7 linked regions of the Callithrix jacchus genome follow. The protein of the gene in region 1 interacts with the protein of each later gene in a biochemical or structural test. Links are inferred from orthologs where the notes say so. Each region holds a gene or a part of one and is shown in the gene's direction. Other genes may lie near its edges.

Region 1 (4,036 bases):
GGGCAGCGCCTTCGCGGCGGTGACCCCCAAATAGGCTTCAGCAGATGGGGGGAGGGCGAAAGTGAAAGCTGCGGCTCTCAAGGGTTTTTACCCTCCGTTGAAAGCGTAGGGCGAAAATCGTAGCTGCAGAGGTCCCGCAGCTCTGTGCGGCTCCATTCCCAGCTCTCTGCCAGGACCCGAATACATGGCTGTAGAGGACAACATCTCACTGAAGCGCCCGCAACTCCGGCCGCTACTCCTGCTGCCTCACGGCGAGATGGCCGCCCTGACCGGACGTTACGCCACTTCCGGCTTTCCTGTAACTCGCTCCCGGCCTCTCTATCTCGCACTAGTCGTTGCTCCTGGAGGGCTGCTCTGCCGCTAGTCCCTTTCATAGTTGGGTCCTGCCCATTACCAGAAAGATATTAAGGTTTTTGTTTTTTGTTTTTCCCCCGAAGAAAAGATTGGAATTCACCCATATGGACAAAATTTTAAAAGTCTGACCGTGCAAAAATTTGCCAAAACTGTGGAGCAACGGCAACTGGAATAATAGTAACAGCCTAAATTGTCCTGGCTAATACAAAATGTATGTAACATTTCCTATCCTTAAAGAGCTCACAACCTCACTGATAATAGAAAGTCCAAAGGAAACAAGCGGTATAATATATGATTCCGCCAAAACGAACTATAGAAGGTAAAATAAAGGCGTGCTGACGTCCCACTAGGAAACAACTGCGGATCGAGCCTTTGACCACAGTGCCTGAAGCGGCTTGTGTTTTGCTTAGTGTTCCTAGTCATTCTACACGCTTGAAGATCAGCTAGCGTTGTTGCTGACAGGTAAGGAGCACGCGCTTACTGAGTGCCAGGCACTGCTCAGGCATTGACTGTCAGTCTCCAGAGAGCCCAAAGTTAAGCACTAGTATCATCATTATTAAATTTTACAGAAGAAACTGCGGGGAAGAAGTCAGGGAACTTGCCAACGGTAACGCCTCTAGTTGCTTGAAACACACACACCATTTAAAAATTGATCTTTCCTATGCCCAGCAAGGGCCAATTAGAGACAGCGGTGGTGCGCCCGCCCAGTCCCGGAACTCCTCAAGAGCTTCGCCCCTCCTTCCCTTAAACTACACGCCTACGGAAACACAGGAAGTGAGCAAGTGCCCACACTTCGCATGGCCACGACCCCAGTGAGAACAATTCGCTGAAGCCGAGGGCAGAACTGGCGGAAGTGACATTATCAACGCGCGCCTGGAGTTCAGTGGGGTCGGGCAGGGTTCCTGTGGCGGGCGCCTGGGCCGCCGGCTGTTTAACTTCGTTTCCGCGGGCTCATAGTAATTTCTGCAGTGACCCAGGTAACAGCTTGTCCTCTTTTCTGAGGGTTCGGGCGGAGGCGACCACTGCATTGAGGCCTGGGGGCGATGGTGGGGAAGAGACAAGGAATTGGCGCGCGCAGGCCCTGCAGGGGACGTTCCTCCCGCTCGTGCTGCCGCCGTTCCGGCCTGTAACGGCCACTCGGCCGCCGCTTTCGCCTGGTGCCCTATTCCGCTGTGGTTCGCAAGCGGCTTCCCGTCATACGAGCGTGGGGCGCAGGGTACTGGCGGGCTCGGCGGCGGCGGGCGGGACAGGGCAATCCCTTGCATCGAAGACCCGAAGTTTATTCTGCCCTGGCCTGCCACCCGCTTCTTCTCCATGTTTGAAGGCAGATTCACTGTGGTCTGTGCCCGCCTATTTTGCTACCAACATTGAGACTTAAATACTTTGTCAGAAGCCTGAGACAGCGGACACAGTAGCGCTTAAGATACAGTACACATCACTTTGTTTACAGGGCCTCCCATCTCTCGGTTCAGGCCATCATGGTTTTCCAAATCTCTAGGTAGGCTTTTCTGTGAAAAGACTATGCTTCATTTAGATATACAGACACTAGAAGGCTATGCAGAGTTAGATTGCCTCCAAAAAATATCGAATTTGATGTTTCAATTTCGAAGAGATGAAGAGACCCAGCAAACAACCCTTTTCTAGGGAGAAAGTGCAGTAACCACTGTGCGGTTTCTTCTGTAGACTTACGTGCAAAAAGTGATAAGAGCCTACCAATATTTGCCGTCTCATCTCCTGTAGTGACCTATACAGTCATACTAAGCTTGTCACCTTCATACGGCATGCTTTTTCAATGTTACCTCGTTTATCTGAAGCCCTGACCTGTAAATTCCTATTCACCTTGTGAGACCCAAGTTAGATGGTCCTTGTTTTGTGAAAACACTGCCCCTCTTCATAGTAGTGTGCTGTTAGTCTATATGTCTTCTCTTCCAGGGGCATATATGCACTTATTCATGATCACATACTGTATTCCAGGCATAGTGCTAGATGCAGGGATGACAAAGACTGGTTTCTACATTCAAGAAACTTAGCTGGCCGGGCGCGGTGGCTCACGCCTGTAATCCCAGCACTTTGGGAGGCCGAGGCGGGTGAATCACGAGGTCAAGAGATCGAGACCATCCTGGTCAACATGGTGAAACCCCGTCTCTACTAAAAATACAAAAAGTTAGTTGGGCGTGGTGGCGTGTGTCTGTAATCCCAGCTACTCAGGAGGCTGAGGCAGAAGAATTGCCTGAACCCAGGAGGCGGAGGTTGCGGTGAGCCGAGATCGTGCCATTGCACTCCAGCCTGGGTAACAAGAGCGAAACTCCGTCTCAAAAAAAAAAAAAAAAAAAAAAAAAGAAACTTAGCTTAGGGCACACCTGCTATTATACTATGTTTTATAGTAATGATTTGCATACCCTTTATATTGAACATTTTGATGCCAAGGACTATAACCTCCTAATCTTTACATCCTCATCTGCATCACTTCTGTTATTGTTATTATACGGTAACTGTCAAAAAGTATAATTTTAAAAACATCTCTGATATTTTTATTTTCAGAAGCAGAGTTCGCTTGCTTTCTTTTTTGGCCATTTTTTCAGTGATGAGTAGGTAGGATACAGAGTCTGGGGGCCTTAGCCCTTTCAAAGCGATCCTCAGAATCTTTCATTCCTTCACAAATATCTGAGTGTCTATTGTGTACCAGCACATGCTTGAAGTGCATATGCCTGAAGGGTCTTTGGACATATAATTTGTAACTTTGAGACCTGAAGTTCTGGGTGAGAATATGTTGTTATTATAAACTCATTTCAGATATGGACATGAGTAAAGAGATGATGATTTAAGAAAAGCCAGATAACAGGCACGGTTTGCATTAATGTGTTCTAAAGAGGTAAGGTTATTATTTACAAAAATGCAGGGTTTTATCTTTGTGCAGCTTTTTTTTTTAGTTTTATTATAGTAGGAGCTCAATAACTGATCACTGAAGTATATTTACTTAATTTTTTGCCCAAGACATTATAGAGGATATAAAATTGGAATAAAGATCTGAACTTTGCTTAACTGTGCTGTATATACAGTGCTTAACGAATACTCTGCTGTGATATTACAGTTTGCTTAGGAATTAGTTTCCTCTCAGTATTTTTCCTCAAAAGTTTTTGATGCATCATCATAGTATTTAAATGCGTAACAAAATGACTTTTGTTGGCGATTTTACATGTAATCACAGGAAACATGGAAGGAATAAGACTTCAGGATTATAAAGCAAAAGGCAATGTATTCCAAAATAGCTTCATTGGTTTTCTTGTTTGTGTTTTGTATAGCCATGGAACTGGCTTATAGGACTGTACAGGTTACCTGAATCCTTACATTAAACTTCAGGCTTTTTTCCAAAGCAGCATCACTGTCTCTTGGTGTGTGAAGATAACCCAAGGAATTGAGGAAGTTGCTGAGAAGAGTGTGCTGGAGATGCGCTAGGAAAAAATTGAATGGTGAGACAAGTTCCAGCCCAAGGGTTTCTGGTTTGCCAAGAAGGAAGTGAACATCATGGATCAGAACAACAGCCTGCCACCTTACGCTCAGGGCTTGGCCTCCCCTCAGGTAATACAGCAGGAGGAAGAGAATGAGAACAGGGAGGGCAGAAATATGTACTTCAAGAGATGGTATCAAAGGGAAGGAAGGGTATTTAATGATCTGTTTTTGA
Region 2 (4,188 bases), on another chromosome or scaffold:
GGTGATCTGCCCTCCTCAGCCTCCCAAAGTGCTGGGATTACAGGTGTGAGTCACCGTGCCCCGCCATGCCTCTGGTTCTTTTATAACCTTTCTCAGTGCCTGCTCTGGGTCAGGCCAGTGTTGGGAGGAAGCGCTACTGAGCTTCTAGATTGGCAGGGGAGGCAGATGGAGAAATGTGTGGTCAGTGTTGGAACAGAGGCAGCAGTGGGCAATAGAGGAAGTGAGTAGATCCTTGGGAGGGGTCCCTAGAAGAAGTGATGTGTTTTGTTTTTGTTTTGTTTTAGAGACAGGATCTTGCTCTGTTGCCCAGGCTGGAGTGCAGTGGCATGATCATAGCTCACTGCAGCCTTCATTTCTCGGACTCAAGCAATCCTCCCACCTCAGCCTCCCAAGTAGCTGGAACTACAGATGGACACCACCACGCCTGGCTAATTTTTGTATTTTTTGTAGAGAAGGGTTTCACCATGTTGCTCAGGCTGGTCTCAAACTCCTGGGCTCAAGAGATCCACCCTGCCCGTTGATTATAGTGATTCCAGGCATGAGCCACCGCTCTGGACCAATGCTTCATCCTATTGTAAACGTCTGTTACCTCTCTGTCCCCTATCCAGTAGACTGTGAGCTCCTTAGGGCCACGAATTAAGGATGGGGGCACAGAGTTAAGGATGGGCACAGAGCAGGCTCTCCTGACGTTTGTTGAATGAGTGAGGGAATGAATTAGTTCAAGCAGACGCTTTACTTGGCCATTGTAGATTTTGGCTAAAATGGGACTTGCAGGAAAGCCCCAGGCTAATATCTGGCGGGTCGTCCCTCCTCATTTCCTGGTACCGCTCTTCAGCTTGGGCTTTGGGTGAGTGGGATAGGGCTGGGTGCAGGGTTAGGATAATGTCATGGGTGTGGTAAGTTGAGGATAGGAGAGGTGGCTGATGGCTGGGCTGTGGAACTGATGATCCCGAAAAGAAGAGGGGGCAGTTTCTGGAGATGTGGGCTGAGGTTGTGGGGGCTACAGGTTGAGGGTCGCGTGAACAGAGGCTCTGTCCTGAACCTGCACTATAGAAAGGTCAGTGGGATGCGGGAGCGTCGGGGCGGGGCCATGTTCCAGTGTCCCCACGCCTCCGGCAGGGGACGCTCGGCCTGGGGGCGGGGAGTCCGACCGCGCCTGGCACTGTCTGGACAAAGCCTGCGCGCGCCCCGCCCCGCCATTGGCCGCGCCGCCCCGCGCCGCCCCGCGCCGCCGCCCCATCCCTCCCGTCGCCGCCGGTCCGGCGCGCTATAGCCAATAGGAGCCGCTGCCGTCGACTTCGTCACGGCCCGGGCAGCCAATCGTGGCGGCGCTCGGCGGCTCGTGGCTCTTTCGCGGCAAAAAGGATTTGGCGCGTAAAAGTGGCCGGGACTTTGCAGGCAGCGGCGGCCGGGGGCGGAGCGGGATGGAGCCCTTGCTGGGGCCTGCCGCCATGGGCCCGCGCCGCCGCCGCCGCCTGTCACCCGGGCCGCGCGGGCCGTGAGCGCCATGGCTTTGGCCGGGGCCCCTGCGGGCGGCCCATGCGCGCCGGCGCTGGAGGCCCTGCTCGGGGCCGGCGCGCTGCGGCTGCTCGACTCCTCGCAGATCGTCATCATCTCCGCCGCACAGGACGCCAGCGTCCCGCCGGCCCCAGCTGGCCCCGCGGCGCCCGCCGCCGGCCCGTGCGACCCCGACCTGCTGCTCTTCGCCACTCCGCAGGCGCCCCGGCCCACACCCAGCGCGCCGCGCCCCGCGCTCGGCCGCCCGCCGGTACGGACCCCAGGGACGCCGCGCCGGCAGCACTGCCTGTGCCCCCTGAGCAGACCTGGGCGGGTGCTGTGTTTGGCCTGGAGGCGGCAGGGGGCGGGGGAGGGGTGGACTGAGGCACCCAGGCTGGGCGGTGCAGAGCCTGGCTTGTGCCTCCAGGCTCCGCCCTGGGGTGCGGGGTGACCTCGGGCCGGTCCCTGTTTGCTCCTCTGCTCTGGGCCTGAGCTTCCTCACTAAAGCCTCCCCAGCGTCGGACTCAATGATAATAATGGCCCACGTGTATTCAACTGGCGTTTATTGCACGCCAGGCCTCGGCCGACTTCAAGCCAGCTGAAACTCACAACCCTGCTGTAAGCCGTGTTGTCACTGTGCCCAGCTGACGGAGGAGGACTGAGGCCCAGAGAGGGACAGTGACTTGCCCCTGGTCACACGGCTGCAGGTGGCGGGGCTGGGATTTGAACTGCGGCCTGCTGGCTTCAGATCAGAATTTGCATCTCGGTAGTGAACACAGCTGCTAGGGGAAGTGAAGGCGGGGCGAGGAAGGTCCTGGGGCTTAACCGTTGGTGAGCCACTGAGGAGACCCTCCTTCCTGCCTCGATGCTGACTGCCAGGTGCAGGACTGGCCGGCCAGGCCTCTGGGGACAGCCCTCCTGGCTGGGAGGCCTTCTCTGCAGGGGCGGGGCAGCTGGACCAGCTGCTGATCTCCTCCCTCTGCCTGTCCTTCCATCTGCCACCCTCCACCCTCCCAGGCCCTGGTTGCCATGGAACCTCATTAATCAGACAGACAGACCCCTGAGCCTCTGTAGAAGAACTAGGTGGGCTGGGCCTCTGGGAGCTGGAGAGGAGGCCCCCAGTGCCAGGAGAGAAAATGTCCCAGGGAGATCCTTTAATAAAGCCGTCCCTGAGTGCTGAGCTCAAGACCAGTTCAGACGGGGCGGGGGGTGGGGGGGGGGTGGTGCCCAGAAGAGGTGGCTGAATTACAGTGGGAGAAGGGATTGGAGGCGTAGAAGCCTGGAGCTGGGACCTGTGGGCTGCAGTACAGGGTGTGGAGACCAGTTTGACTGGCGCAGCCTATGGGTGAAGGTGGGGCTCTGATGTGCAGGCAGGGGCTGGTCAAGCAGGATGGGGTCTCAGCAGGGAGCTTGGAGCAAGTGGGAGGGGTGAGGCAGGGCTTAGGACTAGGAGGTAGAAGCTGCCTAACTGCTGATGGGGGTGAGGGTAGCAGCTGGTCCCTGAGGCATCTAAAGGGGCTCCCCCACCCCCTTGGCCTCATGCCCAGTGCTGCCTTCCGGAATCACCACGATGCTAATAATAATAACAATAGCAGCCACCATTGTTTTGAGGATGTCTTATGTGCCAGGCTCTGCCAAGAGCTTTACCTAATTAACTCATTTAACCCCATCAGCAGCAATCCCTTTTTACAGATTGGGAAGCTGAGGCCTAGAAATACTAGAATCTTCCCATGTCATTCTGCTATTGAGCGGGGGGTTGAATCTGTATTTCCTGTGAGGTTGACCTCTGGGATGCATTGCTTTCTAGGGATGCTGATAGAGGCTGAAGAAAGGGCAGGAAGGGCTTTTGGGGGCCCTTCATCTTAATGAGTGGGTGGGAGGGGTGGGCCAGGTGGCTTGTCTCCTGTACTCCGGGGGTTTGTCCCTGTGGGTAGTGCTTGGGACCTGGGCAAGCATCCTCCATTCAGCTGTGTGACAAGCATATAGCAGGCTCAGGTCTGTGGAAACCTAACAGAACCTGAGGGTCTTGTCCTCAAGGAACTGAACAGGATTATGGATTCTAGGATCAGAAGGAGAAACGGGGCAAAGAAGAGTGCCCTCCACTCTACCTGTCAGGGGCAGGCTTATTGGCCCGGGCATTCCATTCATTCAACAGTTGTTGAGTTAGTGAATGCCTAGGAGGCACTAGGCTCAGAGAAAAGGAGCCCCACCCTCAGAGTCCTTCAGGGCCAGGAGGTGTTTTCTGTACTTAGGGGCAGGAGACTGGAGCTGAAGTCCAGAAGGTCCACAGGTTCGGCTTTTGGCCTCTCTGCACTGGCATTTGTCTGGCACAGTCCCTGGAATAAGCTACAGACTTAGCTTCTGTACCAGCAGGCATTCGTTGAACACTGTATACCAGGCTCTGTGCAATTCAGCCATTTCTCTTGGTCCTGCCTGTCCACTTCCACAAACTCAAATATTTTAAACATAATACATGTTTACTGTAGAAAACTTAACTGTTTTTTTTTTTTGGAGACAGAGTCTCATTCTGTTATGCAGGCTGGAGTACAGTGGTGTGATCAGGGCTCACTGCAACCTCCACCTCCGGAGTTCAAGATATTCTGTGCCTTGGCCTCCCAAGTAGGTGGGATTGCAGGCACATACCACCACACCCAGCTAATTTTTGTATTTTTAGTAGAGACAGGGTCTTGC
Region 3 (3,839 bases), on another chromosome or scaffold:
GTGCTCAGCGGTGAAGCCATCCTCACGGCCACCTGGAGAGTCCTCCTCTTCTAGCTCCTCACCTGGTTCCATCCTGCTGTGAGCGAACCGAAACAAGGCGGAGTCAGAGACAATAACTACAGGTGCTAGGCACGGGATTAAACTGTGGCCTTGGGTAAGAGTTACTGTCGATGCGCCTCAGTTGCCTCATCTTTACAATGGGCTAACAACTGTTCCTGTCCCGTAGATCCGTTGTGAAAATTAGATACCTGAGGAGTGAGAGCTCCAGAAGGGTTGCTACAGTTATTACTATTCTCCTTGACTTATAGACAAGGAAACTGAGGCTCAGAGATAAAGGACTTGCCCAAGGTCACGCCCGTAGTGTGTGACAGAGCCAAAAGGTGAAGCCAGGCGTGGGAGCATTGCCTCAGCTACACCTCCCCGCCCCACCAAGGTCCCCTTTTCCGGCAGGTATCCGGAGCGCTAGCATTTAATGGAGGGAGGTAGAGAAGCGCACGTTCGCGCAGCTCCCGAGGCCGGCTCTGTTGGGCCAGGCCTCCTGGGCAGGCGTCGTCCGGCCCAGTTAAAGACGAAGACACTGAGGCCCAGAGAGGGCGCGAGCCGGTCCGAGGCCAATGGGGCAGTGCCCGGACTCGAACCTGGGCTTGTTAGAGCCTGCAGGAGCGCAGGCTCCGGCCTTGCCGCGCCTGCCGCCATTAGCGCCCACGGCCCGAGCTGCGCCCCCGCCCCGGCCCCGCCCCTCCCACCGCCCGCAGTCACCTCCGGCCTTCGCTGCGTTCGACGCCGACCCAGCCCCGGGCCCGGCTCCGCTCCTGCCGGGATTCCGCGCCACCGCCGCCGCGCCCCGCCCCCGCCACGGCCGCCGCTGCCGCCGCCGCCATCTTAGCGCCGCGCAGCCACGGGGCGGGGCCGCCGGCCACAGCGGCGCACCGCTGGGCGGGGCCGACAGGGGAAGGGGCGGGGCCTGCGGGGAGGTGTCGCTCGGGGGCGGGGCCATCGCGGGAACCCGGGGAGGGGCGGGCCGCGGGGGGCGGGGCCAACGTTCGCTCTTCTGGCCTTGGGGGCGGGCGGGAGCGGCGGTCTAGACCCCGGACGGACGCGTACCGTCCGGGAGGCTCCAAGCAGAGGGCACTAGGGCCCGGCGAGCGGCGTCTTAACCGGCGGCGCTAGGACCCCTCGGGAAGCAGCGGGGGCGGAGCGGGCGGCACCAGGACCCGGGGGAACCGCGGCGGGCGGGCGGCGAGCAGGCCCGGGAACCGGGAGGCTGCGGGCGGCGGCGCTGGACCTGACGCGGAGAGAGAGGCCCCGAGATGCCGAGCAAGAAGAAGAAGTACAACGCGCGGTTCCCGCCGGTGAGCACGTGGCAGAGTCCGGCAGGAGTGGGCCCTGCTCCCGGGAGGCTTAGGCCCAGTTCCCGCTGGGGAGGCGGGCGCGGCGCGGTGTTCGGGGGCCTGGACGCCCCGCCCCCTCTGTGCCCTCCCCGCGTCCGCGTCCCCCGCCCCTTTTCTCCGGGGATGCCCCTTCCTCCCCAAGCATCCCCTTCGGGGACGGAGGCGACGGGGTCTGAACTCTCTGCTCGCCCACCTGCAGGCGCGGATCAAGAAGATCATGCAGACGGACGAAGAGATTGGGAAGGTAGCGGCGGCAGTGCCTGTCATCATCTGTATCCTGCCGGGAGCTTGCCGGGTCGAGGGGCGTAGGGGAGGGAGGCAGCAGGTCGCCCTCTCCCGCCCCCCGCGTTCTCCTTGACGCCCCTCAGCCCGGGCGCTCGAGCTCTTCCTAGAGTCGCTGTTGAAGAAGGCCTGCCAGGTGACCCAGTCCCGAAACGCCAAGACCATGACCACATCCCACCTGTGAGCGGCGGGGCTGGCGCGGGAAGTTCACGTGCGGAGGGAGGCAGAGCCTGGATAGCGAGGGAGGTGGGCGGCGGCCGGGACACCAGCGAAGCCTCAGAGTGGTGGAGGGTCTGGACGTCCAGACAGAGGGAGCCACCCGAGCAAAGGAGGGCAGCCCCGGGGGTGGTGATGGGGCCTGGGCTCCAGTCTGACATCCGGGGCCCCTTGCTGTCACTCGCTGAGAGGGTCTGGGTGCCAGCCCCTCCCCACCTCTTCTAGGAAGCAGTGCATCGAGCTGGAGCAGCAGTTTGACTTCTTGAAAGACTTGGTGGCATCTGTGCCCGACATGCAGGGAGACGGGGAGGACAACCACATGGATGGGGAAAAGGGCCCCCGCAGGTGCAGCCAGGGCCTGGCATACAGTGGGGAAGGCCAAGGCCACAGGGCTGGGGGGAGGCTGAGGAGTAGGGAGACCTCTGGGCAGATGGACTGTACCTTCCCAAAGGGGCCGGAAGCCAGGCAGTGGCAGCCGAAAGAACGGTGGGATGGGAACGAAAAGCAAGGACAAGAAGCTGTCTGGGACAGACTCGGAGCAGGAGGTGAGTGAGGCCCCAACCCTTCGGCCTGCCCTTGGTGATGGGACTGGCAGCCTCGCCTCAGACTGAACCAGCTGGAGGCCAGCTCTCGTCCTTTTCTGTGACCTCTTTGTACCCCAGTTTCTTTGTAAATTGGGGCTATGAGGTCTCCTGCTGTCTCTGCCACTTCTGGTGATGGGCTCATGCCATTTCTTGTCAACTCTGATCTCTGCGGTGCTCACAGGATGAATCTGAGGACACAGACACTGACGGAGAAGAGGAGACATTGCAACCCCCACCCCAGGCCAGCCACCCCCCTGCCCACTTTCAGAGGTGAGCAGCCCAGAGGCACGGGAGGGTGCTGGCAGACTCCCCAGAGCCAGCTCACCCCTCCTGCTTTTCCTGACTCCTTGGTCTTGCTGATTGTGGCAGATTTGGGGGTGGGAGGAGAATAACTGAGGAGGGCTTGAAGGCAGGAGACTGTTCTTCCGAAAGATCCTGTCCCACTCTGCCAGCGCCTATGGGTGGAGCCTGGGCCTGCCCTGCCTGAACTGCCCTGAGCCTTGGTCCCATGCATCTGGAGGGTGGTGGTGGGAGGGAGGATGGGGGAGGGAAGGTCTTGGCAGCTGCCCCTGTGGAGGACAGGTGAGGCTCAGGCCTGACTCCCCCCTGCCTTCTGCCCTACAGCCCCCCGACACCTTTCCTGCCCTTCGCCTCTACTCTGCCTTTGCCCCCAGCGCCCCCAGGCCCCTCAGCACCAGACGCAGAGGATGAAGAGGATTACGACTCCTAGCGCCCTCCGCCCCCCAGGCAATAGCCCCTTTTAGTTGGTTTTAGTTGCTCTGGGGGGAGGAGGGAAGGTACAGCTGTTCTTGAATTTATTAAAAAAATTAATAAAAGGGAATCATCAGTGTCTGTCCCAGGCTCTCTGCAGGATGTCATGGTTGCTGTCCCATCCCCCCACCTGCCTTCCCCACAAGAAACTGGGAGCTGGGCCTGGGTCACTGGCAGGTGAAGCGGTAGTGAGCGAGGGAGGTGTCAGCTGGGGAGGCTGGAGGCCCCGGCTGTGCTGAGCGGCACCAGGGCTGCTGACCGACTGAAGGGAGGTGGGAGAGCTTGCAGGTGCTGGGCACTCGGGGGACATTGCTGACTCCCGGCAGGCTGCTGCCCTGCCCTGAGCAGCCTCTTGTCTCTGATGGAGACCTTTCTGCCCACTGTAGGCTGCTGTGAAGGGATAAGTGAGTGGGTTTGGGGAGAGGATTGAGGTCACTTTTTTTAAATTTGAGATGGAGTCGCTCTTTTACCCAGGCTGGAGTGCAGTGGTGTGATCTCGGCTCACTGCAGCTTCCACTTCCCGGGTTCAAGAGATTCTCCTGCCTCAGCCTCCCAAGTAGCTGGGATTACAGGTGCCCTCCACCACTCCTGTCTA
Region 4 (4,067 bases), on another chromosome or scaffold:
GATTCCCTGAGAGCCGCTGGCCTGGGCCGCGGGAGGAAAGGCCATAAAGCGACAGGCGCAGAAAACGGCCAAGCCCCGACCCCGCTTCGCATAGATCTTGCAACTCCCCTGACCCGGCCTCATTTTTCCTTTTTTTTTTTTTTTTTAAATTAACAGCAAACTAAATCACGTTTTCTCCAAAAATGGCAAAATAAAAGTTCTCAAGTTCCGCACAGCAGTCCACCACCAAGAACTGTCTTCTTTTCCTGGCCCCCTTCCCCAAAGGTGCCTCTCCCCCTCCAGGATCAGCGACCCAGAGATAGGGACCTGTTATTGTTCCCGCGGACGCGTTGTTTGAGGTCACGCTAAGGCCAGACAAGTGTTTTGTTGACGTTTCTGTTGGTTTTATTTCAGTAAATTCTATATCAAAAGGATCCGGCAGCTCCTTTTCCTGGCCGGCCGCTATAGGTGTTGTGGGGTGGGGGTAGGTGGGGTGAAAATACGCGTCGCGTCTGAAAACCGACTCCAGATTCTCGATAATTTTATGTATTCTCACATCCTTAGCACCACAGAAACCTGGCTTCTTCCCACAAACTTTACTCCAGCTCTGAGTTAGAGACAAAGGCCCAGTTTTACCTCCAGGTAAAGTTTAGAAGATTTCAGCACAGGAAGAAAATGAAGGTTATTTATTTATTTATTTATTTATTTTTGCAAAAGAAACTAATACTATGTATTTCTCCTAAGATAAATAGTCATGCATGTTTTTTAAAATACAAAAGGAATGCGCAAGAAATGGCCTCAACTCAAATTAGTGTGGTAGAGGAACGTGGGAGGTCAGATAGCGGAGAGGCGGGACAGAGAAACCCAGCCACAGACTAAAGAGAAAGGTAAAGAAGCAGTAAAGAAGAGAAACAAGGATGGGGCAGAAAAAAGAAGAGTGGAAAAGACGGCCGAGGAGGGGAGGAGAGGAGAGAGGAGGGCAGAAGAGAAGGAGCGAGAACAAGGGAAAATCCCCTGGGAAAACAGAAAGATAGAGACCCAGGGGGACCCCCGCAGAGAGGGGCCGCCTGCGCCTCAGCGCCGAGGAAAGTTTGCCGGGCACCCCCCTCCCCGCCTCTGCCCTCCGCCGGCCCGGCACTGCCCTGCGCGCCCCCAGGCCCAGCGCGCCTCCGGGTGAGTCCCTAGGAGCGCGGCCCAATGGATCGCTCCGGGCCCGCCCCCTCGCGCGCTGATTGGCCGCCGCCGCGCTGGCCTCGCCTTATTAGCAAGTTCTCAGGAGAGCGGCGGCGGGACCCGGAGCGGGCTAGTGCTCCCGGGAACTCGGCCTGCGCAGCGGCGGTGATCCCGAGCCAGGCCCGGCGCGCCGGAGCGGGCCTGCTGGGGAGGAGCGGGAGGTGCGCGCGGGAGGGTCCGCCCGGCCAGGACCCCGGGCGCTCCTAGAGGCCGGCCGCGCTCCCAGCCCGCCCGAAGCCCATGCCCGGAGGCTGGCCCGTGCTGCGGCAGGAGGGGGGCCCGGCTCTGCATGGCCCCGAGTGCTGACATGACTTCTTTGCCACTCGGTGTCAAAGTGGAGGACTCCGCCTTCGGCAAGCCGGCGGGGGGAGGCTCGGGCCAGGCCCCCGGCGCCGCCGCGGCCACGGCGGCCGCCATGGGCGCGGACGAGGAGGGAGCCAAGCCCAAAGTGTCCCCTTCGCTCCTGCCTTTCAGCGTGGAGGCGCTCATGGCCGACCACAGGAAGCCAGGGGCCAAGGAGAGCTCCCTAGCGGCCTCCGAGAGCGCGCAGGCGGCGGGTGGCTTGGCTCAGCCCTTGGGCGTCCCGCCCGGGTCGCTGGGCGCCCCGGACGCTCCTTCTTCGCCGCGGCCGCTCGGCCATTTCTCGGTGGGAGGACTCCTTAAGCTGCCAGAAGATGCGCTCGTCAAAGCCGAGAGCCCCGAGAAGCCCGAGAGGACTCCGTGGATGCAGAGTCCCCGATTCTCCCCGCCGCCAGCCAGTAAGTAGCCAGAACCCAGGCGCCGAGGGAGGGGCCGGACGGGGTGCGGGCCTGCGGCATCTGCGTACCTGGAGCTGGTGTTAAGGAGCCGTGGGTTGCAAGGCCGGGTTTTGCGCCTCCCTCCACTCCCACCCAGGAAGAAGGTTCCAGACCTCCTCGCCTTGGCCAGAGAAGCTGCGGGTGGGAGTTAACGGACGGGACACCGATGTCTGGGCACCCTGTCCTCCTGTCCCCACCAAACGACCCCAGAGTCCATGATCCCTCATCTGGTTCCAAACTCTGTTTCCTCGCCGTCACCCCAGCAGATGAATGTGTGTGGTGCGGACATCTTCCCTGCACACGGAGTTTCACTTTCTGCCAGTAGGACCTGGTGTCCCCTAGCCCCTCATCCTTTGCAAATATCTCTTTGCCTAGAGGTTCCGAAGCTCCAACAGAATTCCACCTCCCCCCGCCCTTCGAGTTTGAGGCAGATAGTTAGTGCTTTGGGTAGATGGATGATTCAGGGGTGGGGACCTTCAGGTTTCAGTGGAGGGGGCGGGGCACCAAGTCAGTTAGGGGAAGGCGCCCCCGCTAATCCTGTCGGAACCACGAACTGAGCCGTTAAAGCGGACTCCAGGTGCCCACGGCGAGTTCGGGCTGTGGTTCCAATGCCTCACGGCCCCCTGGCTGCTCTACTCAGAGAACACGCCTGGAGATATTTCAGGAGCACGGGAAATTCCCAAGTTTTCCTCGTTTCCTCCGATTATTTTGCTCGGCATAATAGCAGCCAGAAATCAATGGCGTGTTGCTGAGGAATGATTTTTATCTGCGGATTAAACGTCTTTGAAAGGCCAGTCCCTCCCTGAGCCTAATGGTCGGAGAAGGTGGCCCTGCGCTGGGTTGTTGCCGCCGAAGGGAGTGACGTTTCTCTCGGCGCCTGCCCCTCGGGCGGCCAGGCGGAAAGCGAGTTGGGGGCCAAGCGCTTCCCGGACTCCCGGTGGCCTCTGGCGGGGAAGAAGCGGGGTGTTAACACGAGATTTCGTTTGACTCACATCCTGGTGATCTGAGAGTCCAAAGGATCGGGTTTTCTTTGTTGGTTGTTGCTGATTTTTAAAAGAGTGTGAAAAATGCGGACTTAAGCAAAACCCGTGTGGTGTAACATCCTCAGTTTGAATTCACTTTCTGCCAGGAAAACTACTGCATAGGGAAAGTGTCCTTTCCAACGCTTAGGGCCTTAGGCCCCAAGACCCCAAAGTCAAAGTGATCCCAGCCCTCTTGGGAATATTTTGTTCCACGTTTCATCCGGGGACAGTGCCCAGCGGACCCCGTTGCACTGGTCCTGTGCTCTGCTTCCTCACTGCCCACCCTTGAGGTTTATTTTGAAGGCAAAAGAAAAAGACAGCTGGGCATGTTGGTGTCTGCTGACTTTGCCACAGTTCGAGGGGAGAGGCGATCTCAACCCCCGCCCCCACCAACATACACACACACACACACACACACACACACACACACACGTTTGAGTGGGGCCAGAGGGCCCTGGCGCCAGGGGTGAATGCAATCCAACAGAAGAGTGAAACAATCCAAAGAAAAAAGCCCTTTAGAATAAAGCAGCCCCAGGTCCTCGACTCCCGATGACACTTTCTAATTTCTAGAAGAGGTGGCCACAGCCCACCCGCCAAGAAGGTCTGCACTGCTCCATCTCTAGTCTGCGGGAACTACCCCTACCATCACATAGGAGCCCAGCGTTCCAGGGGAAAGTATAGAATTTGATCTAGATTCTATGCCACAGAACGGCCTAGCCCCGCACTGAAGCATTCCGTGTGTACTGATATATGTTTGGCCAACGCGTGAAACTTAATGTGGCCTTGGGCAGGGTGCAGGGCCTCTTTCTGCATGTTTCATCACCTGTGTTAGCATCCACCTTTCCTCTGCGTGGCGGTGGGAGGAGGCCCGCCTTGAAGGCCTTCCGAAGTCGCAGGGCAGCTTTACAAAGGCGCTTCTACCTCTTCCCAGCTGCTTGGGCCTTAGACGTGGACAACGGGCCTTCAACATGGGTATTTTTCTCCTGGAATCTTCGTTTCTTCATTTGCAAAAAGTAGGAACGTCTTCCCTGTGGGG
Region 5 (4,064 bases), on another chromosome or scaffold:
CTCCCCAGAACTTATGGGGTCTACCCCCTACACTAACCCACTACAGGAATTAAAAAGTTTACACCCCAGACTACTTCTGCCTCTCTCACTCCTACATTCCGAGGAGTTGGCAGTTCTTGACATTTAGTGGATGAGGAATAAATGAAACCAGACATGTCTTGTTCCCCTTCCCTCTGCGTAGCCTACAACTCCTATGCATCCCTCAGTGGCCAACTGAAACCTCCCGTCTTCTCTGAGCCCTCAGAGCCCCGCTGTGCTTCTCCTGCTCCTTCCTGGGTTGTAGATTCCCATTTTATGAGTCTCCGCCACGACACTGTAACCCGCAGAGGACAGAGAGCTGGTTTGATATATTCACCTGGCGGAGCCCGGAACCCAGCAGCGTGCTTGAGTATTTCCGAACTAGAGCAATGAATGGTTGTGCTGTGAGCATGCGCAATTGTGTTACTGCCAGGCTTGAGGGGTGTGTGCACGCCTGGAATGGGGTAGGGGAACTTGCACCTCCCTCCCGTCCTCTGCAGCCTCCTTCCCTTCCCCCCAGTAAGCCAGCCAGCCACCCCCACGACGTTACTCTTCTCCGGGGGCCTCAGAGCCCTGCCCATTTGGGGCAGCTTGGACTTGCAGAGACCCATCCCGCCAGCAGCCCTTGGGGTGGTCGCGCCCCGATTCCGGGCAGGCTCTGACCCCTCCTGGCTCGGCTCAACGTCACAAGGGTCCCCGCTCCGGTCATTTTGCGGGAATGACGGGGTCCACCCCTTCTGGGCAGGTAGAGGAAACGAACCCCAAACAGGCCCATAGGGAGCCAAGCGGCAGTTCGACTGGACCCGAGTAGGCCTCAGTTGCTATGGTGACGCGGCCTTCCAAGCCCCAAAGTCCCGAGCGGCATGACGCATGCGCAAAGCGCCTGGGAGCCCGCAAGGAGGACTAGCTTCCTTCTTCCCACCCAGGATGCCCTGCGGTCCTTGGGTGCTGACGTCACGAAGGAGGGCGGTCCCACATTTGATGACCGCACTGTACATAGGAGCATCAGCGACCAAGGCCGGTTATTTGATCTCAGACTCGGCCTTGTTGCGTCTGAAAAGGGGCAGGGGTGGCTCTTTTGAGGTGGCCATAGACGCCGAGGAACATAAGTGACGGCGCATTGAGGTAGCCACAGCCGCTTAGAAGGTTGCCATCGCGACGCGGCCGCTGGAGGGTTTAGCTTCCGGGTTAGGCGGCCGCGGAGGCGTAGACGGAATAACCTGAACGCCTCTTCCGGTTACCCTTTCCCAGTGCCAGAGGCGCCTAGGGTAGGAATCCTCACACGGGGACCGGAACAGAGACCCGACAAGGAACGGCGGCTTCCCCGAGATCGAGGGACGCGCTAGCCAGAGGAGAAGAAAGGAACCCGGGTCGGACCACGGAACCACTGACCATTGCCCATGGCGGCCCTAGTGAGTGTGGATTTGGCGGGGTTCGGGGGTCCCGGCGGCGACCTCGGCGGCACCTTACTCACCGTCCGCTTCCTCTTTCCGCAGGGCCCCAGCAGCCAGAATGTCACTGAATACGTCGTTCGAGTTCCGAAGTAAATCCCCTACCCCATCTCCCACTCCTCTCCACCCCGCAAAAGTGAAAACCTTTACGGTCCTCTTAGCCTGACGTTTCTGGCCCTGTCTGTGGTTCTCCCTCCAGACCGGGGGACTTGGAGGGCAGGGCTGCGATTAAGCTGAGGCTTCTCTGGAGGCAAACACTGCTTTTTGTATGAATGAGTGCATTAATACACAGCACGATTCAGCCTCCTGGCCTAACGTTCGAGAGCATATGATGCCCAGGCTGTCTCGTCCTCTTTCAAAGCGAGCAGGCTGCCTTTCCTTTCCAGGCCTTTGTACATCCCGTTCCCTCTGCCATGAGTGCCTCCCCTCAGCCCCCAAACGGTGACTCTGTTGGGTGAATTCTTGTTGATTCTGCAAAACTCAGCTCCAGTATCATCTTCCTCCAGGAAGCACTCCCTGACTGACCTCCCTCCTCCCCAAGGCTGAGTTCCCAATAATCTCCACATCTTGGGTTTCTCCCAATCTTTGTTCCTCCATTTGTTCTTCGTCTGCACGCAGTTAAGAGGGGATGGGGTCTAGCTTCTCTGGCAGACTGGGATTCCTGCAGTCTTCCGTATCCAGTGTTGACAGGCAAAACAGACTGAATGAACCAGGGTGGGTTTGTTGAGTGACTGAATTAATGATTCAGTGGAATGGAATGCTTGAATTAATGGTTCAGTTGAATGGAACGATCGAATTAATGATTTGATTGAATTAATGATGTGTTCACATTGATTGATTAAATTAATGATTGAATTGAATTGATGTATTGGATTGGCTCTATCTCTTCTAATCCACTCTAGGAATACAACCAAAAAATATAACATCATGGCTTTTAATGCAGCTGATAAAGTCAACTTTGCCACGTGGAATCAGGTAAGTCCCTGGGTCCTGGGGGTCGGGGGCTGGGGTGGTGAGAGAACCTGACCCTGACCTTGGTGGTTGTAATAGTTGCTTAGCTGTCATAGTAACTAAGTCTTAATTTTCTCACTTTTCCCAAGTGGAGATAAGGTAGATGACAAAGAGTTGGGTGCAGTAGTTTGTACCTGTAATCTTAGCACTTGGGAGGCCAAGGCAGGAGGCTTGCCTAAGGCCAGGAGTTCAAGACCAGCCTGGGCAATATAGCAAGACCCTATCTCTACCAAAAATAAAATAATTAGCTGGATGTGGTAGTGTGCATCTGTAGTCCTGCACAGGAGGCTGAGGTAGGAGGATCACTTGACCCCAGGAGTTGAAGGCTGCAGTGAGCTATGATTACACTACTGCACTCCAGCCTGGTGACAGAGTAAGACCTGTCTCAAAAAAAAAAAAAAAAAAAAAAAAAGATGGCAAAGGCCCAGGCCAAGCTCCTGGGTGTCCCTGTAAGTTACGTTTAGTAGGACCACAGGAGGCCATTCCTTAATGGAGAACATTTAGAAGTTGTGCCCACTGATGGCCATTTTTGCCAAGGTTTATCTGGCTGAGGGAGGGGACTGGGCTAGGGCCTTCCCCAGAGCCCCTGCCATCAGAGGCTCTAGAAAGGACTGTGGGAGCCATTAAAGCATCCTCCACGGGGAAGTTGTATTGTGATCTGGCTGCTGTGGGGAGGCAAACTGTGGGTTTGAGGGCGGATAAAGGGAGAACAGGGTGGAAGCAACTGGGCTGACTGGTCTAGGTGAGTCCTGGCCTGGGGATGTGGAGGCCGTGAAGGTGATGAGATGTGGCTGGATTCTAGAGTGTTTTGGAAATGGTACATATGGACCTTGAAGCAAGAGCTTAAGGGTAATTGGGACCTTATTGGCCACATAGGTCATGATTAATGGTTACATTTTAGAGATTTTGGTGTCTTACTGTCAACAAGTTTGGCACAATGAATTTCTTTTTATTTATTTAAATTTATTTTTTTGTGATGGTGTTTCACTTTTGTTGCCCAGGATGGAGTGCAATGGCACGACCTCAGCTCACTGCAACCTTCAACTCCCAGGTTCAAGCCATTCTCTTGCCTTAGTCTCTCATGTAGCTGGGATTACAGGTGCCCACCCCCACTCCCACCTAATTTTTGTATTTTTGGTAGAGATGGGGTTACACCATGTTGGTCAGACTGGTCTCGAACTCCTGACCTCAGGTGATCCACCCACCTTGGCCTCTGAAAGTGCTGGGATTACAGGTGTGAGCCACTGTGCCTGACCTTTTTATTTTCTTTCTTTCTTTTTTTCTTTTTTTTTTTGAGACGGAGTTTTGCTCTTGTTACCCAGGCTGGAGTGCAGCGCGATCTCGGCTCACCGCAACCTCCGCCTCCTGGGTTCAGGCAATTCTCCTGCCTCAGCCTCATGAGTAGCTGGGATTACAGGCACGTGCCACCGTGCCCAGCTAATTTTTTGCATTTTTAGTAGAGACGGGGTTTCACCATGTTGACCAGGATGGTCTCAATCTCTTGACCTCGTGATCCACCCGCCTCGGCCTCCCAAAGTGCTGGGATTACAGGCTTGAGCCACCGCGCCCGGTCGCTTTATTTTC
Region 6 (3,949 bases), on another chromosome or scaffold:
TTTACAGACGAAAAACAGACTCAAGGATTGAGACACAGCCTCTACAGGTAATGAGAAGCAATGGACATGCTTTATAAGCATAGGAGCAACATGATAAAGCAGTGAGTTTTTTTTTTTTTTCTAAGATTAATCTGTTGGTGGCCTATAAAAAGGACTAAATTGAAAATTAGAGAAATATTATTTTGACTACTAGCATAAAAATCAAGTTTAAGGGCCCGGCACAGTGGCTCGCACTTGTAATCCTAGCACTTTGGGAGGCAGAGGCGGGCGGATCACTTGAGGCCAGGGGCGGGAGACCAGCCTAGCCAACATGGCGACACCCCACCTCTACTAAAAAAATACAAAAAATTGGCAGGGTGTGGTGGCACGTGCCTGTAATCCCAGTTACTTCAGAGGTTGAGGCACATATAGAATTGCTTGAACCCCGGAAGCGGAGGTTGCAGTGAGCCGAGATCATGCTGCTGCACTCCAGCCTGGGCAACAGAGCAAAACTCTATTTCAAAGAAAAAAAAAAAACAAGTTTAAGATGATAAGGACCTGCACTAGGTAGCAGAAGTGTTTAAAAGCCTAATGAACTTAAAACTATTGAAAAGCCAGATAAGCCCCCAAAAAAGAACAAAAATTTTAAAACGTGAGTTTTCAAATCTGGCTAAGAAAATAATACTATGAACAACATAAACAATTGAGAAATCCAACTTGGGCAAATCGTTGGTCAGAAGAGCTTCTCTCCAGTACCTATGCAGAACTTCTGGCAAATAATGGCAAACATCTAAGCCATTTCCTCAGCGTCATAGCAGATTTTTCTTTCGTTCACTCCGCCCACTGGCTTCACCACCTGAACAAGAGCATCTTAATTAAGGGCCTTCTGATCTTGCTTCCCTAGAAGCAGTTTGGTGGGAAGGAGACTGGTTGGTATGGAATTAGAAATCAAGGTTTTAAAGTCCCAGGACTTTGGCTAAATCGGCTTTTTCCTTCTCTGTCAAACAAAGGGACCCTTAGTTCACCTACTTCCCTACTTTTAAGACTGGAGATCCTCTCCATATCAGTACAAACCGCTTTTACTTAAGCGCGTGTCACCAAACTAAAGGCGCTCACGCAGAGCGGAGCCCCTGGCGGTGAGCTTACGTCACGTCCGGCGCGCTGACGCTCAGTTCTGCGTGCCGACGCCTGCGTCAGCAAAGAGCGGAGCTTGGGGTACCCGGTTTGAAGTCGTGCGGGTCGGAGGACTGCCGCATCCGCTACGGTGTTGGACCCCTGCTCCCTGGCTGCTGCGGGTACGAGCTCGGGTAGGCGGCAGGGCAGATGCCCGAGGGCCTGAGCTGGAACTCCCCGCGCCGCAGCGGCCGCTCCCTTGTGCTTCGCGGCCTGGACCTTCACCGTTTCGCTCACTGGAAACTAGCGCCTCAGCTGCGCGGCGCGTAGGTCGCACGGAGCTCCGAACCGCCGGCGCCCGGCTATGGCGGTCTCCAGGTGGGTCTTGCTCCTAACGAGCGAACGTGAAGGCCGCTCAGGCAAGGCACGGTCTCCTCTCAGCGCCCTCAGTCGTAGAGAGGAGCGGCTCTCATTGTCACTGGGCTCCGGCGCTTTCTTCAGTAGACTTCGGAGTTCGCCCCGTGGTCGGAGGGGGTTTGGGGCTCGGGTTACCCCTGGGTAAATTGGCTCAAGAATGCCTTTTTTCTTGTTAAATAGACCCCTTGGCACGTTAGAGCTGGTTTTTCTCTCCTCACCATGTTTCTGTTCTCTGGTTTCTCTTCCCTCTTTCGGTTCTAGGAGAGTAAGTCTCTTATCTTTCTCTGTATTCTAAGGCTGGTCCCTAACCTCCATTTCATGGGAAAACTTGGTAGTTACTGTCGATTGAGGGGAAACCTGAATTACTGTTATCTAAGAGACCGTCTAATTATGTTAACAATTTTAATTTACGTTTTAGGGGCATGTTCTTTCCTGAGCTATTTTTTAAAATTAAGTATAATTTCTCCTTTTGTTTGGCAGTAAATATTCCAACGTCAGCGTTGTAACCTTAAGCAAATTATCGTATTAGCATCATCTTCCTTAGCTAAGGGGTGAAAGATAAATCACAAATCTTGTATTCTTTGGCAATACTGCCTGTCAACAGGAAAGCCCGGGAAAACTATAGAAAAACTAATAAGACATTCATTTGTATAGCTATAGGAGAAACATTCTTCTTTCCTCCAGTATGATAGAATGGTTGGAAAACTTTTGTAAGTGGATTTTGGTGGCCCTATGTACATGTGATTAAGGGATAGTTCCTCAGTGATAGTGATGGGGTGGATTCACCAAGTTCTTTAGAGTTGTTAAGGTAACTTTTAATGAGAATTGGGTTCTTCTATCATATAGACTGAAGGAATAAATGATGAAAACAATTAGTTTTCATTCATTTTTTATAATTAACTGATCACATTCTTTGAGCATTTTAAGTGCGCAAATTTTATCTGTTTTGCAAGGGAAAGGATAACCCATTCCTTACAGACTCCCTAGATGACTGATGAAACTGTGTGGGAGAAGCCCATGAGAGTTGGCTGAAGGGGGTTGCTAGGTACCTGTAGTATGGGGCATCTAATTTTTGTTATATAGATTAATCTATTTAATGTAAGGAAATTCTTTAAAAAAAAATTAAACTGCCTTAAGAGAATACAAGTGACATTTTACATTTTTGCAGATATAGAAAGGTATATATAGAAAGGTATGTTTTCTTATTTATTTATCTATATATTTGAGACGGAATCTAGCTCTGTCACTCAGGCTGGAGTGCAGTGGCACAATCTCAGCTCACTGCAACCTCCACTTCCCGGGTTCAAGTGATTCTCCTGCCTCAGCCTCCCTAGTAGCTGGGATTATAGGTGCCCACCACCATATGCAACTAATTTTTTTTTTTGTATTTTTAGTAGAGATGGGGTTTCACCATGTTGGCCAGGCTGGTCTCAAACTCCTGACCTTGTGATCCACCCACCTCTGCCTCCTAAAGTGCTAAGATTGCCACCAAGCCAGGCCATATCTTCTAATTTGTTACCTCCTGTATAAATACATGAATATATACATTGTAAATGCATTGATATATAAACTTAATATAACATTTGTCATGTAATACAGTGTTTAAGGAGATGAGTACTTCCTTTCTTAGAACAAGCTGTGTATTTTCACAGGATTGGATGTAGCTTATAAAGACAAAATTAAAGTGTTTAAAAAGAACCTAATCTTCGTGTAACACTAATCTCTTTACAGAAGTTTAGGAAACTGAATATTTCTGAATGACTGAGTGGGTTTTGAAGGCACTGTCTTTTGTTCTGAATATTGTGTTTCAAAGAGTAGCACTCTTTTTCTGTAGATTTTTTTTTTCCTTGTTCACTTTTTAAAAAGCCTGTCATGTTTTTATGAAAGAGCTATTTCTGTGCTTAGTTTCCTTGGGCTTACTAGTAAGCCCAAGGAAAACATTTTGAGACACTGTGTGTGTTTTGGGGGTAGTGTCAATTCTTGACTTTTTCATCTGCGGATTTCTTTGCATGGCAAATTTTAGTTTCAAGCTGGCCTTCTCCATGCATGAAGCACAGTTCTGTGCTAACGAAACTTTCTTTCTCTCCTGTTGGTGTATGCTTGTGGAATGCAGACTCATTTAATACTATTTTATGTAAAATTGGTGGAAAATAGTCCAGGAGATAATAATCATCTGGCAAAATCAAATCTAAAATACTTTTTACACTGTTTATTTCATATGCATAACTGAAGAGAAACTATAATATTTTTAGGACATTTCCAACAAAATTTCCAACAGATGGGAAATAGTAAATTAGTATCACTATTCCCTCATCCAGAAATTTGAGACTGGGTGTGGTGGCTCACGTCTGTAATCCAGTTTGGGATTATACTCTGCCCCAGGCTGAGGGAGGCTGAAGCAGGAGAAACACTTGAAACCCGGAGGTGAAGATTGCAGTGA
Region 7 (3,500 bases), on another chromosome or scaffold:
CTCCTTGTGCTGCTATTAGTTTGATGTCAGAATCATCCCTTGGACTGATTGATACTGTTTTAACCAAATAAATATATCATGTTCATGTTTAAATCACCTTTGTTTTCCCTGACCTCTAAATTTCTTCTATATCTTTGCTCAGTAGAGCTCTGCATTCTTTATATGTTTTCATGATGATTCATTTTAGTGTTTTAATAAAATTATATTTTGTCTCTATAGAAAACATTACTCTGAACTATGCAATATGCTATGAGCTGTGATATAGTTCATGTGTGCTTGAAAATGAGTGTTTGCTTCAGGACCTTATCACCATTAAGGATATATTGATTGCCTGGTGTGCAAGGAGCTGTGCGAGGTGAAAATGATAGGGTAATGGCAAGCTCGGAAAATGATACAGGTATTCATGCTATGACCATTAGAAACAAGGAGTGCTTCACTTATCCCCTTACAATATTTCTCATACTACACGTTGGGATAGTTTTAATGACGTTCCCGTGGAGAGAGGAGTGAAAGAAACTAACCATTCTCAGTTCCAGGAACATTTGTGGAATTATCAAGAACCCTAGAGGCAGCCATAATGGAGCCTTTTAAAAAGGAACTATTTTATATTGTTAATTTTAATTAACTTTTTTTGCTTTTTTGTTTTTTTAAGGCAATGAATTTCCAAGGGAGGTTAAAGTATCTTCATGGGCAAAAAAAGAAAGGGAAAGATGGATCAATCCTTCCACCTCAGTTGGCTTTGTTTGCAATAGCTACTCCACTTCAGCCACCGTCCATACTTGAAATCCGGACCAAAAATTTTATCTTTAGAACTAAACACAAACTAGACTTCACACCTATTGGTTGTGATGCCAAGTAAGTGAGACTTTTTCACTTCTGTTTTATTGGATGTACATTATGTTTCAGTAAGTCTCTCTTAGCATGTAAAACATACAGTGTAGACTGTATGTAATATTGTTTATTATTAGATTGGCTATTTCAGTGTAGGCTTTTAAAGTAAAATAATTTCATCAGGCTCACAAATCATCCTTTTAATTTTTTGCACTACTTGTCTCAAATGATGATGTTCTTATATATTTGTAAAATTTGTTCTGATGACATTTATTGTTGGTTTCTTTTACATTTTTAAATGGCACAAATGTTATTAAAGATTTTCTGTTACCCATACATCTGCTCTATTAGATTCATTTTTAGCTTACTGATTTCCATGGTTTTATTCAGGAAAAGAAAGTAGGCTGAGACTGAAATTTGCGGCCATAAGCAGAGAAGAGCGATTTACATAGATGTGTTTAATTTCACATCTACTTACTCATGTGAAATTCTAACTGTGAATTAACACATTTGGCAGAAACTAGCATAAAAACAGTGAATTTATCTTGGTTATTTCATTTATGTTAAATATAAGTTCATTTTTATTTTACCTTTATTTTAAACAGGGGAAGAATTGTTTTAGGATATACTGAAGCAGAGCTGTGCACAAGAGGATCAGGATATCAGTTTCTTCATGCTGCTGATATGCTTTATTGTGCTGAGTCCCATATCCGGAGTAAGTCATAGTTCCTTATGAACATGTCAGGAAAAAAACCAGCATACGCTGTAGTACGTGTTTCAAAATATGTAATATAACATGTTTAAGTAAACTATATGGATAAACTTCTACTTAGTAATGTATCATTATGATTAACCAGGGTTACACTCTGTTCATTAACTTGTCTATACCTGCCACCCAGAAATATTGTAGCTTAGTGACTGAAAAATGACCATTGTGGCCCATGAAATTTTGCTTGGGAATTCTTCAGTTACATCATTATCAATTCATAAATCTATGTTAATATTTTAACAATAATAGTGTTAATAATTCTACTTTAAAATTATAAAATATTAGGCTGTAGGAAAACATCCCCTATTTAAAATGAAAATGTTTTAATCTTTTTTCCCCAATTTCTGCTCTCTCTATACTTTCCTGTGTTACTAGAATTGTCTAGTATGTAATCTTTCCTCTAACATTTAAAATAATAAATTTAGTCTGAAATGGGGGAAAAAAACAACTCCAAAAAACTATTTCTATGCCTAATCATATTTTGTGTTTAAAACTTACTGTCTTTGGGAATAAAGAAAATACATCCAGAGCTATGTCACAAGAGCTTTGTTTTTAGGAATATCCTTCAATATATTGATTTGGAGTTTCATAATGTACTTTTTAAATTTTATTTTAGTGATTAAGACTGGAGAAAGTGGCATGATAGTTTTCCGACTTCTTACAAAAAACAATCGATGGGCATGGGTCCAGTCTAATGCACGCTTGCTTTATAAAAATGGAAGACCGGATTATATCATTGCAACTCAGAGACCGCTAACGTAAGCACAAAGAATGTTTTCTGTTTCTGTTATCAGTGTTGTTTTCATAAGTCCTCTTATGTGAACGCATAAAAATAATTCAATCAGAATTTAGTCTGGAAATAAAAATTGAAAAGTTAATGTAATTTGTTTAGTAAGGAGAGCACATGTGAGAGACATTGAGAAGATACAATTGACAAACTTTATTGGTCACCTACCTGTGCAGGTGATCAATAGAGCTAATATTTAAAGAATATTAAAAGAACACTCTAGGGTTTTATCCTGAGCATATGAAAAGCTAATGTCATTGGTAATATAAAAGAAAAATATAACAATTTTTTTTTTAGAATATGTTCTGTAAATATAGCAGTGATTTTAAGAGTTTCTTATATATGCTGCAAATGAGTCTTTTGTCAAATATTTGTATTGCAAATGTTTTCTTCCATTCTGGAGAATTGACTTTTGTCTGTGGCTTGAGGTAAGGATTAAGATTGACTCTCCCCAGCCCTTATATGTGTACCCAGTTGACCAGGAACATTGAAAAGATGCTTTACTGAAAAGGTCATCTTTTCCCCACTGCACTGTATTTTAATCAGGGGATTTTGTCTGTTGTTCTCTCTCTGGATTCTGTCGTCCTGTAATAGTTCCATTGATGTAGTTGTCTATTTTGTACCAGCATTACACTGTCTTATTCTCTCTTTATTATACATTTCGATGTCTGACTGTGTCTTCATTTTGTTTGTTTTGCCTTTTTTTGGTTGTTGTTCAAGATTGCCTTGGCTCTTTTTTGCCCTTTATAATTCCACATACATTTTAGAAAGCAGTTGTCTGAAAATCTGTTGAGATTTTGAGTGGGATTACATTGAAACTGTAGATCATTTGGGGAGAATTAACATCTTTTTAATACTGAGCCTTTGAACCCATGAGCATGGTGAATGTGTATGTTTGTAAGTACCCATGGAAGTACAGGCGTATGTGTGTATGTATGTATATGCGTGCATGGGTGTGTGTGTACCTCTACAAATTTGTCCCTTCTCCCTTGATCAATGTTTCTAGAAGGCAGTTTTTTTTAGGTTAGATTTTATTAGTCTTTATTAAGATCCAAATTTTGGTTGATTGATTTTTTTTTTCTAGTGTACACATTTGTTTGTCATTTTAATTAT

Evidence for each region.
Region 2: the proteins of TBP (region 1) and E2F1 form a complex in vitro, tested with the Homo sapiens proteins (2 studies listed by BioGRID). The link is inferred for Callithrix jacchus from reciprocal best matches to the Homo sapiens genes TBP and E2F1.
Region 3: the proteins of TBP (region 1) and DRAP1 are reported together in a solved structure, tested with the Homo sapiens proteins (2 studies listed by BioGRID, with this or other methods). The link is inferred for Callithrix jacchus from reciprocal best matches to the Homo sapiens genes TBP and DRAP1.
Region 4: the proteins of TBP (region 1) and MSX1 form a complex in vitro, tested with the Homo sapiens proteins (2 studies listed by BioGRID). The link is inferred for Callithrix jacchus from reciprocal best matches to the Homo sapiens genes TBP and MSX1.
Region 5: the proteins of TBP (region 1) and GTF2F1 form a complex in vitro, tested with the Homo sapiens proteins (3 studies listed by BioGRID, with this or other methods). The link is inferred for Callithrix jacchus from reciprocal best matches to the Homo sapiens genes TBP and GTF2F1.
Region 6: the proteins of TBP (region 1) and BTAF1 form a complex in vitro, tested with the Homo sapiens proteins (2 studies listed by BioGRID). The link is inferred for Callithrix jacchus from reciprocal best matches to the Homo sapiens genes TBP and BTAF1.
Region 7: the proteins of TBP (region 1) and AHR form a complex in vitro, tested with the Homo sapiens proteins (2 studies listed by BioGRID). The link is inferred for Callithrix jacchus from reciprocal best matches to the Homo sapiens genes TBP and AHR.

The regions. Positions count from the first base shown.
Region 1 is NC_133505.1:177,177,943-177,181,978, forward strand, and holds the start of TBP (TATA-box-binding protein), read left to right. Parts: upstream 1-1,236; 5' UTR 1,237-1,331; intron 1,332-1,485; exon of another isoform or gene 1,486-1,852; intron 1,853-3,728; exon of another isoform or gene 3,729-3,731; 5' UTR 3,732-3,879; coding exon 3,880-3,933; intron 3,934-4,036. Other genes in the region: PSMB1 (proteasome subunit beta type-1), read right to left, coding at 92-204. UniProt on the Homo sapiens protein: The TFIID basal transcription factor complex plays a major role in the initiation of RNA polymerase II (Pol II)-dependent transcription.
Region 2 is NC_133506.1:5,612,543-5,616,730, forward strand, and holds the start of E2F1 (transcription factor E2F1), read left to right. Parts: upstream 1-1,388; 5' UTR 1,389-1,507; coding exon 1,508-1,768; intron 1,769-4,188. UniProt on the Homo sapiens protein: Transcription activator that binds DNA cooperatively with DP proteins through the E2 recognition site, 5'-TTTC[CG]CGC-3' found in the promoter region of a number of genes whose products are involved in cell cycle regulation or in DNA replication.
Region 3 is NC_133511.1:122,996,277-123,000,115, forward strand, and holds DRAP1 (dr1-associated corepressor), read left to right. Parts: upstream 1-1,234; 5' UTR 1,235-1,310; coding exon 1,311-1,352; intron 1,353-1,590; coding exon 1,591-1,663; intron 1,664-1,759; coding exon 1,760-1,853; intron 1,854-2,114; coding exon 2,115-2,234; intron 2,235-2,340; coding exon 2,341-2,434; intron 2,435-2,654; coding exon 2,655-2,743; intron 2,744-3,097; coding exon 3,098-3,203; 3' UTR 3,204-3,339; downstream 3,340-3,839. Other genes in the region: C10H11orf68 (UPF0696 protein C11orf68 homolog), read right to left, coding at 1-76, 639-997. UniProt on the Homo sapiens protein: The association of the DR1/DRAP1 heterodimer with TBP results in a functional repression of both activated and basal transcription of class II genes.
Region 4 is NC_133504.1:185,060,189-185,064,255, forward strand, and holds the start of MSX1 (homeobox protein MSX-1), read left to right. Parts: upstream 1-1,267; 5' UTR 1,268-1,501; coding exon 1,502-1,970; intron 1,971-4,067. UniProt on the Homo sapiens protein: Acts as a transcriptional repressor. Capable of transcription autoinactivation.
Region 5 is NC_133523.1:6,031,203-6,035,266, reverse strand, and holds the start of GTF2F1 (general transcription factor IIF subunit 1), read left to right. Parts: upstream 1-1,264; 5' UTR 1,265-1,418; coding exon 1,419-1,430; intron 1,431-1,514; coding exon 1,515-1,561; intron 1,562-2,371; coding exon 2,372-2,444; intron 2,445-4,064. UniProt on the Homo sapiens protein: TFIIF is a general transcription initiation factor that binds to RNA polymerase II and helps to recruit it to the initiation complex in collaboration with TFIIB. It promotes transcription elongation.
Region 6 is NC_133513.1:84,694,990-84,698,938, forward strand, and holds the start of BTAF1 (TATA-binding protein-associated factor 172), read left to right. Parts: upstream 1-1,149; 5' UTR 1,150-1,198; coding exon of another isoform or gene 1,199-1,235; 5' UTR 1,236-1,456; coding exon 1,457-1,470; intron 1,471-3,949. Other genes in the region: FGFBP3 (fibroblast growth factor-binding protein 3), read right to left, coding at 1,199-1,235. UniProt on the Homo sapiens protein: Regulates transcription in association with TATA binding protein (TBP). Removes TBP from the TATA box in an ATP-dependent manner.
Region 7 is NC_133512.1:41,107,986-41,111,485, reverse strand, and holds part of AHR (aryl hydrocarbon receptor), read left to right. Parts: intron 1-652; coding exon 653-855; intron 856-1,436; coding exon 1,437-1,546; intron 1,547-2,216; coding exon 2,217-2,358; intron 2,359-3,500. UniProt on the Homo sapiens protein: Ligand-activated transcription factor that enables cells to adapt to changing conditions by sensing compounds from the environment, diet, microbiome and cellular metabolism, and which plays important roles in development, immunity and cancer.